Macaca mulatta: one gene and its partners. The protein of the gene in region 2 purifies or fractionates together with the protein of the main gene of each other region. This does not show direct contact. Links are inferred from orthologs where the notes say so. Each region holds a gene or a part of one and is shown on either strand. Other genes may lie near its edges.

What was found.
Region 1: the proteins of DCAF11 (region 2) and CUL4B purify together in Homo sapiens (affinity purification with mass spectrometry; 9 studies listed by BioGRID and IntAct, counting the BioPlex papers as one, with this or other methods). This does not show direct contact. The link is inferred for Macaca mulatta from reciprocal best matches to the Homo sapiens genes DCAF11 and CUL4B.
Region 3: the proteins of DCAF11 (region 2) and COPS6 purify together in Homo sapiens (affinity purification with mass spectrometry; 6 studies listed by BioGRID and IntAct, counting the BioPlex papers as one, with this or other methods). This does not show direct contact. The link is inferred for Macaca mulatta from reciprocal best matches to the Homo sapiens genes DCAF11 and COPS6.

Annotation. Positions count from the first base shown.
Region 1 is NC_133426.1:126,941,894-126,945,494, forward strand, and holds part of CUL4B (cullin-4B), read right to left. Parts: intron 2,878-3,601; coding exon 2,715-2,877; intron 2,653-2,714; exon of another isoform or gene 2,549-2,652; intron 2,437-2,548; coding exon 2,347-2,436; intron 2,044-2,346; coding exon 1,961-2,043; intron 1,275-1,960; coding exon 1,207-1,274; intron 1-1,206.
Region 2 is NC_133412.1:97,231,844-97,236,110, reverse strand, and holds the start of DCAF11 (DDB1- and CUL4-associated factor 11), read right to left. Parts: upstream 2,819-4,267; 5' UTR 2,421-2,818; exon of another isoform or gene 2,333-2,420; 5' UTR 2,120-2,332; coding exon 1,965-2,119; intron 774-1,964; coding exon 646-773; intron 425-645; coding exon 297-424; intron 22-296; coding exon 1-21. UniProt on the Homo sapiens protein: May function as a substrate receptor for CUL4-DDB1 E3 ubiquitin-protein ligase complex.
Region 3 is NC_133408.1:47,395,925-47,400,007, forward strand, and holds the start of COPS6 (COP9 signalosome complex subunit 6), read left to right. Parts: upstream 1-1,182; 5' UTR 1,183-1,204; coding exon 1,205-1,277; intron 1,278-1,500; coding exon 1,501-1,626; intron 1,627-1,822; coding exon 1,823-1,954; intron 1,955-2,593; coding exon 2,594-2,682; intron 2,683-2,785; coding exon 2,786-2,848; intron 2,849-3,101; coding exon 3,102-3,149; intron 3,150-3,237; coding exon 3,238-3,352; intron 3,353-3,437; coding exon 3,438-3,530; intron 3,531-3,631; coding exon 3,632-3,732; intron 3,733-3,862; coding exon 3,863-4,003; 3' UTR 4,004-4,083. UniProt on the Homo sapiens protein: Component of the COP9 signalosome complex (CSN), a complex involved in various cellular and developmental processes.

The DNA of each region.
Region 1 (3,601 bases), on a different chromosome or scaffold from region 2:
GTGAACAAAAAAGTGAACAAGATTATCAGACATTTTAATAAAATTTGAGTTATAATCATTATTGTGATACTGGTTTGAACTATGACTAGTCTGTATGTGAGTTCTAAGATTTCCTTTGAATTAAACCCAATCATCTTTCTGGGTAAAAACTAAATATAGAGACTTTAGTCACTATAAAAATAAAAACAGGCCAGGCACGGTGGCTCATACCTGTAATCCCAGCACTTTGGGAAGCCAAGGCAGGAGGATCGATTGAGCCCAGGAGGTCAAGACCAGCCTGGGCACAATAGTAAGACCTCCCCCCACCTGTCTATTTTAATATAAAAAGTTAAAAAAATTAAAAAGAAAAAGAAAAATGGTTAACTCCATAATGGTTTGTGCCATTCAGCATGATAGAGGCAAAAACAAACTTATAAAAACTGGTTTACATAAATATACATTATAAATACCTCATATATGTAGTAGCCATATTATGTACATAGTTATATTTCAGAATATTAGATATGGCCTGTGATATATCAAAAGCCATGCATAAATTAAGTCAAATTTAAATGAGGCTCTAATAAATATTTGATTTTCAGGATGAAATAACAGTATAACTGCCTTAAATTTCTAAATATATAAATTTTTATACCAAAGAAAATATTGTTGAAGAGAAAGGTAAAGTTTTTACCTATTTGTGGCATTCTCAAAGTAAAATGCAGGGTATACTCCAAATTCACTTTGGATTAGAAGTGCTTGGTTTGACATGCCATTAACAATAACAAAAAACCCTCACCACTTTAGTGTAAAAAGGAATACCTTTCCTTACTGAAAGCTAACATATTAAGTCAAGAATTTCCCACTTCTTTTCTTTTCTTTTATTTAAAGAGACGAGAGTCTCACTATGTTGCCCAGGCTGACCTCAAACTCCTGGGCTGAAGCAATCCTCCTGCCTCAGCCTCCCAAGTAGTTGATACTACAGGCACATATCAACCACTGTTTTTTTATTGGTATTTGTGGATCCCTCTCTTCTAGTTCCTGTATTTTCAGATAAGAAAACTGGCACCTTCAGGAAGTTTACTGTGATTAATAAGGATTGTGTCCATCCTCAGAAATGCAGCCACATGCTGTCAAACTTTTAAAAGGGCAACATCTTTAAAAATTCCCTACTAGTTTGCCACTACCATTTAAAAAGCAATCTCTTATTTACAAATTGCCAATTACCTTTCTGAAGAATTGCTGTTAAGTGTTCACCTAGAAGTTGTTTTTCTACAGTAGCAATTAATGACTTCCTACGAGGAAAAAAAGTTAGCATTATTGATGTTTGACTTCCAGAAAATGTAAAGCCTCTCCTGAAGGGGGGGGTGGAATCAAATAGCTCATTTTATGTTAATTTCAAGATTCCTATCCTATGTATAAATTTATTGGTGCTCAGAGTTACTATACTTTACACCTAAAAGAAAAAAACATAAAGGAATAGACAGGCAAAAATTTTTAAAAACCACTGCATATTTTAGAATTTGGTTTACATCATGAAATAAATATCTCCAAGACCTTGTTGTAGTTGGTTTTTTCCAAGTTTTGCTACTTTTATTAGGAAGGTAAAGAAATACTACATACAGAAGCCCCCCGACTGACAATATTAACACTTAGGAAAGCACAAAAATGGGGGGATCCACTGAATTTTAATTGGCCTGAAGAGTTTAAAGATCACATCAGCCTCTAATATTATTTCTAAATTACATTCTAAACACACACACACACACACACACACACACCCCCACCCACTCCTAATCGAATCCTTGGATGAAAACTAATTAATTAGGGAAAAGAATAACTTCAAGTTTATATTATGAAAACAACTGTTAACACTTCAAATCACACCTGAAAACAGTTACTAACATGTTTAGGATGGCTAAAGTGCTGCAAGTGATTTAACGACAGTTTAAGACTATTAAATTCAGCATGTAATACTTACTGGGTGGTCTGATCTAAGTAAGTAATAAGTCTGTCTGCTTCTTCTTCAAGACGTTTGTTAACATGATGTAGATATTCAGGAACCTACAAAGATAGTTTTTTATATTATTGTTTTCCTCCCCATAAATCACTCAGAAAATGTCAAGTCCAAAAGATCCTGGAAGCGGCCCTGTCAAATGTGACAGGGTAGAATCATATGTAAAAATTATAGGTAGAGTTTATGATCCAGAATTCTGGCCTTTAAGAAGAGAGAAAAGAAAGGAGCACCTAAGTGAGAGAAGAGCATCACAATGTTGGGAAGATAAATGCAAAGGGAAGCTTATATTCTACAAAGTAAGGTCTATTGTGAGAGACAGTGAGAATGTATTAGTCATGATTTTTAAATACCTCTCTTTCTTGCATTAATTTTTGGCCTTCAGCTGCATAGAGCCGGTTAGTTTCTTCCAAAAATCGTTGTTCAAAAGAATCTTGATAAATCTGGGAGGGGCAACAAAATGAAGGAGATCATTTATTTAGTAAATATTTACTAAATATTCTCTATGTCTATGTAAACAGCATTATGAATTTGGTTTTTAAACATCAAGCTAGGATCCTTTTGTAGTTTAGAAGCATGATGATTGGGTTTTTATGCTCATGTATGAGATGTGCTTCCTTCAGACATTGTTATGACATCAGCACATCACCTGTCTGACATCGGGAAAAAAAAACTAGGAAAAGCAATCAGCTCTGTATAGTATGTGTAGTAGTTAACTTACTTGCAAATCAGACAGCATGCTTAAAAGGCTTCGAAGTAAACTTCTATCAATTGCTTCACCATTCCTTTCCCTCTCAATCAAGAGAAGAATGCCATCAATTGTCTTATTCTGGACTTTCTGATCACTTATAATATGAGCCCTAAATAACTCCAGTCCCATGTCCCTAAAATAAAAAACACATATAACCTAAATTAATTGACAATACCACTTCTGAAGAGGTTTGCTTTACTTCTTACCACATGTTCCCATGCTAATTAGGGCTCCAGGGCTTTGAAGCAGCAATTGTCAAATAATAAAATCCACACATTTAATTCTGAATAACATTATTAGATTAAAGCACATAGGAAACTCATTTTGTCTTTACTGAGAATTGAAGCTAAATTCCTATTTTCCTCCATAACTAAGTTTTGTTGTATTATTTCTTTTTGTGGATTTCTTCCTTGCTCAAATCAAGAGACAAAATTAGTTCAAAGATATAAAACAGTTTTCACTGTACTGGTATTGAAAGCTTATTTGGTTATTTATTAACTGGTTTCAATACTCAAGAATCAGTGAATTCTGATCACTGCTGTAGGCAGATGATAGGTACATGATAGGGGGAAAAGTTCATGATACTATTCTATTTTCGTGTACACATACTTTTCCATAATGTTAAATGAGTGAACTCTTGATGATCAGCAGCAAAATGAATCACAATCATAGACATTCCAGAGTAAACTTTAGTCCTCTTGGCTAACAAAAAACTTCTTCATAAATTAATATATGCCCAGGGAATGTTAGCTATCTTCAATATTAGCATAGGCAACATATTATTAGGAAGATAAAACCGTTACAAAGGAAAGTCTAGAAGCCAAATGTGAATTTTTAGAATATTCACAGTATAGCTT
Region 2 (4,267 bases):
GTGGCAGAGGCCCCGTTCTCTCTAAATGGAAGGGATTGGGGAATATTGCTAGCAGAAATAGAGGGCCACTTCAGCCATATCAAACCCCCTCCTCCAAAGACACTGCTGTTGTTATAGAAACGGACACAACACATCGTTGTCCGTCCCACAGAACTCCAATGGGGGCTGGTTAACTCTCCAGCCCCGGCCCTTGAGGCTTCTTTCTTGGAAAGTTGACTTCCTTTTCCTCTGGGGCTGGCAGAGATTCTGGCTGCTTTGGCAGGCCTGCTGCCAGGCTGGGAGGTGGAGAGGCCTACCTGGTGCAACATTCGAGGAAAGCTGTGCTCCTGGGTGGCCCGCCTAAGCCCCAGCTGCCCTGTGGCCAGTTCCACTTGTGTCTTGATCTCATTGCATTCCAGCTCCCGGGTGTCAGGGGTAGCATCCACTGTGAGTACCAAGTAGAAGTTTCATCCTAGGTCTTCCAGCCTCAGAGGACAGTTAGCAGAACTGTACCCAAGCCCACCCCTGTGGCTGAATATACTGGGGCTGTAAGGACTCCTTATTCCTTAAATTATCGTACCTTCTTTCAATGTAACCTATCATTCAAAATATCACTAAAAGGTTTTCCAGTAAAAGTCTTCCAACATTAGGGACTTTTCCTCTTACCAGGCGGGTTGTATCGATCCCCAAGACGACCATCCCAAGCTCTGTCATTCTCTTCCTCTGAGTCCAAGAGGGCCTGAATGAATTGTAAATTTGCTGCACCTCCTCCCTGCACCAACCTCACTTGGCCTCTGTGGAGAGACCCCCATTATAAAGGAGGGGACTTCTTCCCCCAAACCAACCAAATTCAGAGTAAATGGCTATCTAGCTCTTAGACCACTTGGTACTCATTTTGAGGTTGGAGGCTGATTAGACCTTGGCTGTTATTTTTTGGTCTCCTATAAAACACAGTAGGAAAGTGAGTCTTACTCTTATAGCAAGAGTAAGACCAACATGCTGTGGACGTGACCTACTAAGTTGACCTCCCAGAGAGCTAAACATTCTAACTGCATTTCCTTAGAGCAAGAGCAAGACTAATACGCTGTGGACATGACCTACTAAGTTGACCTCTCAACGAGCTAAACATTCTCACAGCATTTCCTTCTGAGCCTCTGCCTGAGAAGTCCACCACAGAAGACAATATTCTAAGCTGGGTGTGGTAGTGTGTGTAACTGTAGTCTTAGCTAACTGGGAGGCAAGGATTGTTTGAGCCCAGGAGTTGCGGGCTGTGGTGTGCACTGTGATCACACCTGTGAATAGACTGTTCTCCAGACTGGGGAACACAGTGAGCCCTGTCTATGTCTACTAAAAACAACACAAAACACAAAAACAAAAAAGAATACAATATTCTGATGGGACCCCTAAGCTCATCTTCTCCTCAAAGAGCCATAAGCAAAGAAAGCAAGGCAGCTGCACTCTTTTCCAGTCAATTCCAGGTGGTCTCTCCCTTCAAGGCATTCTTTCCTCAAGAACAAGTCAGAGTCAGGGCAAATTAAACTTGTTTTTCAAGTAAATCGAAGTGACCTCATCGAAGTGGCCTCATATCACGTGTCAACTGACTTACCAAAAAGTTCAACACTCCCTTTCCATCTCTTCACCCCCGTATATCACTGCTTTCCCACCAGGAACCTCCCCCCACCCTTTTTTTTTTCAAACTTACTTGGAAAAGAGATTATATTTGTGTAGTCACAGAGAGAGGCTCCCCTGAATAGCCTCTCAAACACATGAGCAGGTCCTCTTGGTGACCCTCCCTAGGTAAGAACCACTCTTACTGGGTATGAAGCTGAGTGCCATGGGTGCCCAGCAGGGAAAGGCTGTTCCGCTCAAACAGAACAGCTGTCCTGAGTGAATCCTATTTCCTAACCTCTGTAATTTTCCTGCCTGGAGATGGGATCAAGGCACTGTGGTAGCACCTGGTAGGGTCACACCAGAGGGTAAGTTACCTGCGGAGGAGATAGGCCAGTACCTGGGCCAGATCCACATCTTCATCCTCTTCTTCCTCTTCCTCACTCCGACGCAGGCCAGCCCCTCTTCGGGACAAGCCCTCGGAGGGGTCTCCGGACCCGGATCCTGCACTGCTGCTGTTCCGTGATCCCATCTTCTGGTCACAGCATCCTTAGGTACTGTGCGAGGACTCCGCCTGTCACCTCCTTGGGTTTGGTGAAAGCAAAGCGTGCTCTAGAAATACCAGGGTCTCCTGAGACGGGGTAGTAGCTATCTCTAGGAGGGTGACCCTCCCTCGGGGCTGAGATCCCTTTGCTTTAGCCTATGCCAACTACCAAGGCGTCGGGAACACAAACCTTCCCCAATCCTGTGAAGCAAAGAAAGCAAGAGTGAACCGTAGTGCGCTACCCTAGCTCACCAACTGAAGAAAGATTTGTTTTCTACACCAAACTCACCTATCGCAGTCCCTGGACAGGGGAGCGGGAGAGGTGTTGGGCGGTGTAGGATTCCCAGGTAACCTCTCTGACAGACCAATCGAAATCCCTCGCGGAAGAAAGCGCTTCACTAGCTTATCTCATCTAACCAATGAGAAGCCTTACGACTCAAAGACCCTCGGCACCCCCCCCTTACCAACCAATCAGAGCGCCTCCTTACGAAAGCCGGCAGCAATAACAACCAATGAAAATAGAATTTGGCCTAACTCCCCTCCTTCCTTGCCTCACGCCCACGTGGTGCGCCGGGGGTGTGTACGCCAAGAGGGGGAGGAAGCCGAGAAGCACCTCCCACTGAAGCCGGCGGTTACTGCCCCACGAGAGACCACCCACCAGCCAGGAGCGGTCGCAGGACCCGCAGCGGCGCGAGGCCTTGTTTACACCGACTGCAGCCACTGCGTTGGCCAACCGCTGCTCCGTCACGCGCCTGGCTCGTCACGCATCTCGCGGCTTCCCGGCCGGCGAGCTGCAAACGTCACACGACGGCCCCGCCCCCTTGGCCCGCCAACTGGACAGCGGAGCGCGATGATTGATAGGTAAGCGGGAGAATGCGCGAGGGGCCTGAGGGGAGGAGAAAGTGCTCACCCGAAGAGGGCTGTTAGCTCTTGTTGGGGAGGAGTAAGTGGGAACTGACAACTTCCTGGCTCAGAGACAGCCGAACTAGACGTAATGGCTGAGAGGCGGGGCTTAAAAAAGAAACGTTTGGTGGTTCGCTACCGAGAGGTATTTTAGCAAGGGATACAATTTACTGTCGGTCCCTAAAGATCATTTGGCATCGCACTTTTCAGACAGTGCCCAGGGGCCTCCTCTTTAAGCCTACTGCTTCCCCCGTCGAGCTGGAGCCGTTCTCCTGTCGCTGGCTGCAGCTCCAGTCGGTCCTGCCCTAAGGAGTGCTCGGCGTCCCAGTAGGCTTCCACACCGTCCTTCCGGGCTTAGCTTTTCGAAGCCTTGCTCTTGAGACGGCCTCCTTTTAGACCTCCCTTTATCTGCTCGGCAATTTTTTAAGACAATTCCTGGTCTTCTGCCGCGGTCTTTGCAGACGTTCCCTAATACACGCATCTTTCTCTCAAAGCTTTTCCGGTTCCGCTGTCCATTTAGACGCTCCCTTGGCCCTTCGGGATTTGCAGACCTTCCCTAGACCCTCTGTCCTCACAGTGCCTTTCCCTCCCCGGCCGTGAGTCCGGGGTGCGCGCGCGCCGCCTCCTGCCCCCTCCTGCCCCCTCTTGCGGGTTTATGAGTAACAAGCATGAGTCCAAGGCCGGGACTTGCCATATCTCTGAACCTCGGCCTGGCTGGGTGGGGAAGTGTGTGGGGTTGAATGACCTTGCTGTCTCCGGCTCAGAGGCCCAGGGTCCGAGCTGAACTTCAGTCCCCGCAGCCTGCACTCCCTTGGGAAAGCTGCGAGCTTCCCTCCGCCCGCTCCTGAGGGCAGCGATGGGAGCGAGGGCTCGTGGCCCTCTTGGGCCCTCCTGGGGTCTCTCCCAGTGAGGGCGAGGGTTTGGCCAGCTTTCGGGCGACGTCTTCTAGTCTCCAGACCCGGAGGCCTGAGCTTGTCACCAGGGCTAGCTTTGATGGGTTCTGCGCTTAGAAGGGTCCTGAATGCTTGGTTTAATGTTCTACTGTTAACGGTCTTGAAATTATCAATAATTTCAAAGCAAGTGCCTGGCATTTTCAACTTGCACTGGACTCCACTGATTATGTAGGCGGTCTGTAGGCAGTATGCTGGGCGCCCATACTCTATTGCCAGATTACTTACTATCTGTGCTTTAACGTTTATTGAGACTTTAAGATTCCGTGGTTTCTGGGTTATC
Region 3 (4,083 bases), on a different chromosome or scaffold from region 2:
GTTGGCCAGGCTGGTCTCAAACTCCTGACCTCAAGTGATTGGCCAGCCTCGGCCTCCCAAAGTGCTTGGATTACAGGTGTGAGCCACCATGCCTGGCCTTGTGGGGTTATTTTCGAAAGTCCTTGAGACAGTCCCTATATCAGACATGCAAGCATGAGCCCTTCTGCTTGGTGTTCTCATGACTCCAATTTGTTTGGACTTGACAATGTGATTTTTGTCCTGGTATCTGCAACTTTCACAAGATGGAGCAACTCAACACCAGATTCCATCCCAAATTATTCCTTCATTCACTCAAAAAGTATCTAGGCACCAATGTGTTAGGTACCGTGTTGGTCACAGGGGATACCACGATGAACAAGAGAAGGAAACACAGGCTCCTGAATGCGAGAGTGAGGCATGTGGAAAGCAGACACGGAGAGCTGGGTGTGGTGGCTCATGCCTGTAATCCCAGTGCTTTGGGAGGCCAAGGATGGAGGATCGCTTCTGTCAGGGAGTTGGAGACCAGCCTGGACAACCTAGTGAGACTCCTGTCTCTATCAAAATAAAAAAATAATAATAAAATTAGCTGGGTGTGGTGGGGTGCACCTGTAATCCCAGCTACTCGGGAGGCTGAAATGGGAGGATCACTTGAGCCCGAGAGTTTGAGGGTGCAGTCAGCTGATATCAGGCCACTGCACTTCAGCCTGGGCGACAGAGCGAGACCCTGTCTCAAACAAAACAAAACAAACCACCACCACCAGACAGACATGAGGGCCAGTGCAGCTGTAGCCTGAAGATCAAGGGCTAGAAAAGTAGAGGCCAGACCGGGGCCAGATCAGGCAGGGCCTTGCAGGCTGTGGTTAGTTGTCTGGATTTTATTGTGAGGGAAATAACACGACATGTCATTCATTCTGCAACAGCCTTAAGAACTAGGAGTTCTTATCCCAATTTTACAGACGAGGACGATCAATCAAATCGTTAACTAATTTGTCCAAGGTCACCCGCAGGCGACAGGCGGGGACAGGGTCTGGGAAAACCGGCAGGCACCGAGGCCCAGAGGGCGTCGGGCTTCCCTGCACCGAGTGCCGCCCGCCGCGACCCGGGAACTGCCTGCTCCCCGGACGCCAGGCCCGCCGCTTGCCGCGGAGACACAGAACATGCGCTGCTCGCCTTACGGAAGCCGGGAGGGAAGGGGGCGGGGCCGAGGCTGGCGGGCGCGGGGAAAATGGCGGCGGCGGCGGCGGGTGCAGCTACAAACGGGACCGGAGGGAGCAGCGGGATGGAGGTGGATGCAGCAGGTAACGGGCCGTGCGCGGGCGGCTTCCGGAGACCTCCTTCAGGGGTGCGTTGAGGCCTTGCTGTGCTCCCGGGAGAAGGGAGGAGGGCGGAGCAGCAACATCTTTCTCTGGGATAAGTTGCGGGAGGAAAAGTGTGGCCCGGGCTCCGTCGTCCCCCACTGCTATCTGCAGGGAAGAACGTGGGGCCCGGACTCTCACCCTCTCTCTTTCCCTCCACCCTTAGTAGTTCCCAGCGTGATGGCCTCCGGAGTGACTGGGAGTGTTTCCGTCGCTCTCCATCCCCTTGTCATTCTCAACATCTCCGACCACTGGATCCGCATGCGCTCCCAGGAGGGGCGGCCTGTGCAGGGTGAGTGTTGGGCATAGACTCCAGTCTCCTCTCCTTGCTCACCTCCCCCAGACAGTGGTCTTTTCCCCTTCCTTTACTGGATCCAATTCCCCTCCCCCAAATCATCGTTTCCCCAATACTTGGTTCCCACTCATCTTAGACCCTCAGGTCATAGAAGTCTCTTTAACGTTACCTTTTCCATGTCATTCTCTCCCAGTGATTGGGGCTTTGATTGGCAAGCAGGAGGGCCGAAATATCGAGGTGATGAACTCCTTTGAGCTGCTGTCCCACACCGTGGAAGAGAAGATTATAATTGACAAGGAATATTATTACACCAAGGAGGAGCAGTGTGAGAGTGGAATAGATGTGGGGAAGAGGAGTGGGAGTTAAAAAAAATGTGCAAGGTGGGGAAGATGGAGAGGGTTGGAAAGAAACCCGAGAGGACGCCAAGAACAGAGGAGAAAAAGTGAAGAGAGTAGCTGGAGAGATCTCAGAAAAAGAACACGTTCAGAGTTCTTTCTCAAAAAGAAAGTAAAGGATGAGAGAAGACAGGATAGAAGGGAGTAATTATTCTAAACTGAGCCAGGATTTGAGGAAGGAGGAGAAGCTGGTGAAAATACACCAGGAGTTTCACATTGAGGAAGGATGGTTTAAAGGACTATGTCAGGCCGGACGCAGTGAATCAGGCCTATAATCCCAGCACTTTGGGAGGCCGAGGCGGGTGGATCATGAGGTCAGGAGTTACAGACCAGCCTGGCAAACATAGTGAAACCCCATCTCTACTGAAAATACAAAAATTAGCCTGGCATGGTGGTGCGTGCCTGAAGTCCCAGCTACTCGGGAGGCTGAGGCAGAATTGCTTGAACCTGGGAGGCAGAGGTTGTGGTGAGCCAAGATCGTGCCACTGCACTCTAGCCTAGGCAACAGAGCAAGACTCAAAAAAAAAAAAAAAAAGAATTACTGTGTGTTCTGGCCCTTTCCCCTCCAGTTAAACAGGTGTTCAAGGAGCTGGAGTTTCTGGGTTGGTATACCACAGGGGGGCCACCTGACCCCTCGGACATCCACGTCCATAAGCAGGTATACATGCTCACACCTGTGCATGCTGGGGCAGAGAATGGAGAATGAGGGGAAGGAGAAAGGTGGGGGTCACTGACTTCTGTGCATTGTCCCTCTCTTCCAGGTGTGTGAGATCATTGAGAGCCCCCTCTTTCTGAAGTTGAACCCTATGACCAAGCACACAGATGTGAGTAATACCCCATGCCTACTCTGTCGTGATTGTCACTGTTGTCTTTTACTGTGTGATACTCTTCTATTGGGGAATGCCAGGTGCCACTTACCAGCTGTAACTCTGTCTTAGTCATTTCATCTCCAAACTGTGAAGGGAGGTAATCCCTACTTCACTGGTTTCTTGGGAAGATGAGATGAGAGGAAATGGGTGAAAGCAGCTCGTCCAAATGTTGGCATATAGTGTTCAGGTTTCTCCATCTCCTTCACAGCTTCCTGTCAGCGTTTTTGAGTCTGTCATCGATATAATCAATGGAGAGGTAATACCCTACCCTTGAACCCTCAGATCCTGCTCTTGGCCTCTTTCCTGCTTTTGATTCTCCCTTTGTGGGTTACCTTGCCTTGTAGGCCACAATGCTGTTTGCTGAGCTGACCTACACTCTGGCCACAGAGGAAGCGGAACGCATTGGTGTAGACCACGTAGCCCGAATGACAGCAACAGGCAGTGGAGAGAACTCCACTGGTAATGGAGGGGATTACTTGGAAGTGGGGTTGGAAGGTGTGGCCACATCCCGTCTCAACCTCCTCCTGTCCTCGTCCCTTTGCAGTGGCTGAACACCTGATAGCACAGCACAGCGCCATCAAGATGCTGCACAGCCGCGTCAAGCTCATCTTGGAGTACGTCAAGGCCTCTGAAGCGGGTAGGACAGGGGCTTCCTTGGGCACTTCCCTGGCATTCTTCCTCTCCCTCCTGGGGAAGTGACAGCATCCAAACTAATGCAGCCTCTTTTTGTGCCTTTAGGAGAGGTCCCCTTTAATCATGAGATCCTGCGGGAGGCCTATGCTCTGTGTCACTGCCTCCCGGTGCTCAGCACAGACAAGTTCAAGACAGATTTTTATGATGTGAGTTTAAAACCTGGATGGGGAGGTGGGGCTCATGCTGTCACTTTCACGTGGAGGACCGGGGACTGTTGTTCCCTGGGCATGCCACGAGGGATCCCCTGAGGAATTTGTCCTTTCTGTTCCCTCCCAGCAATGCAACGACGTGGGGCTCATGGCCTACCTCGGCACCATCACGAAAACGTGCAACACCATGAACCAGTTTGTGAACAAGTTCAACGTCCTCTATGATCGACAAGGCATCGGCAGGCGAATGCGCGGGCTCTTCTTCTGAGGAGGGTACTTGAAGGGCTGATGGACAGGGGTCAGGCAACTGTCCCAAAGGGGAGGGCGCTACACTTGAGAGAAACCGCT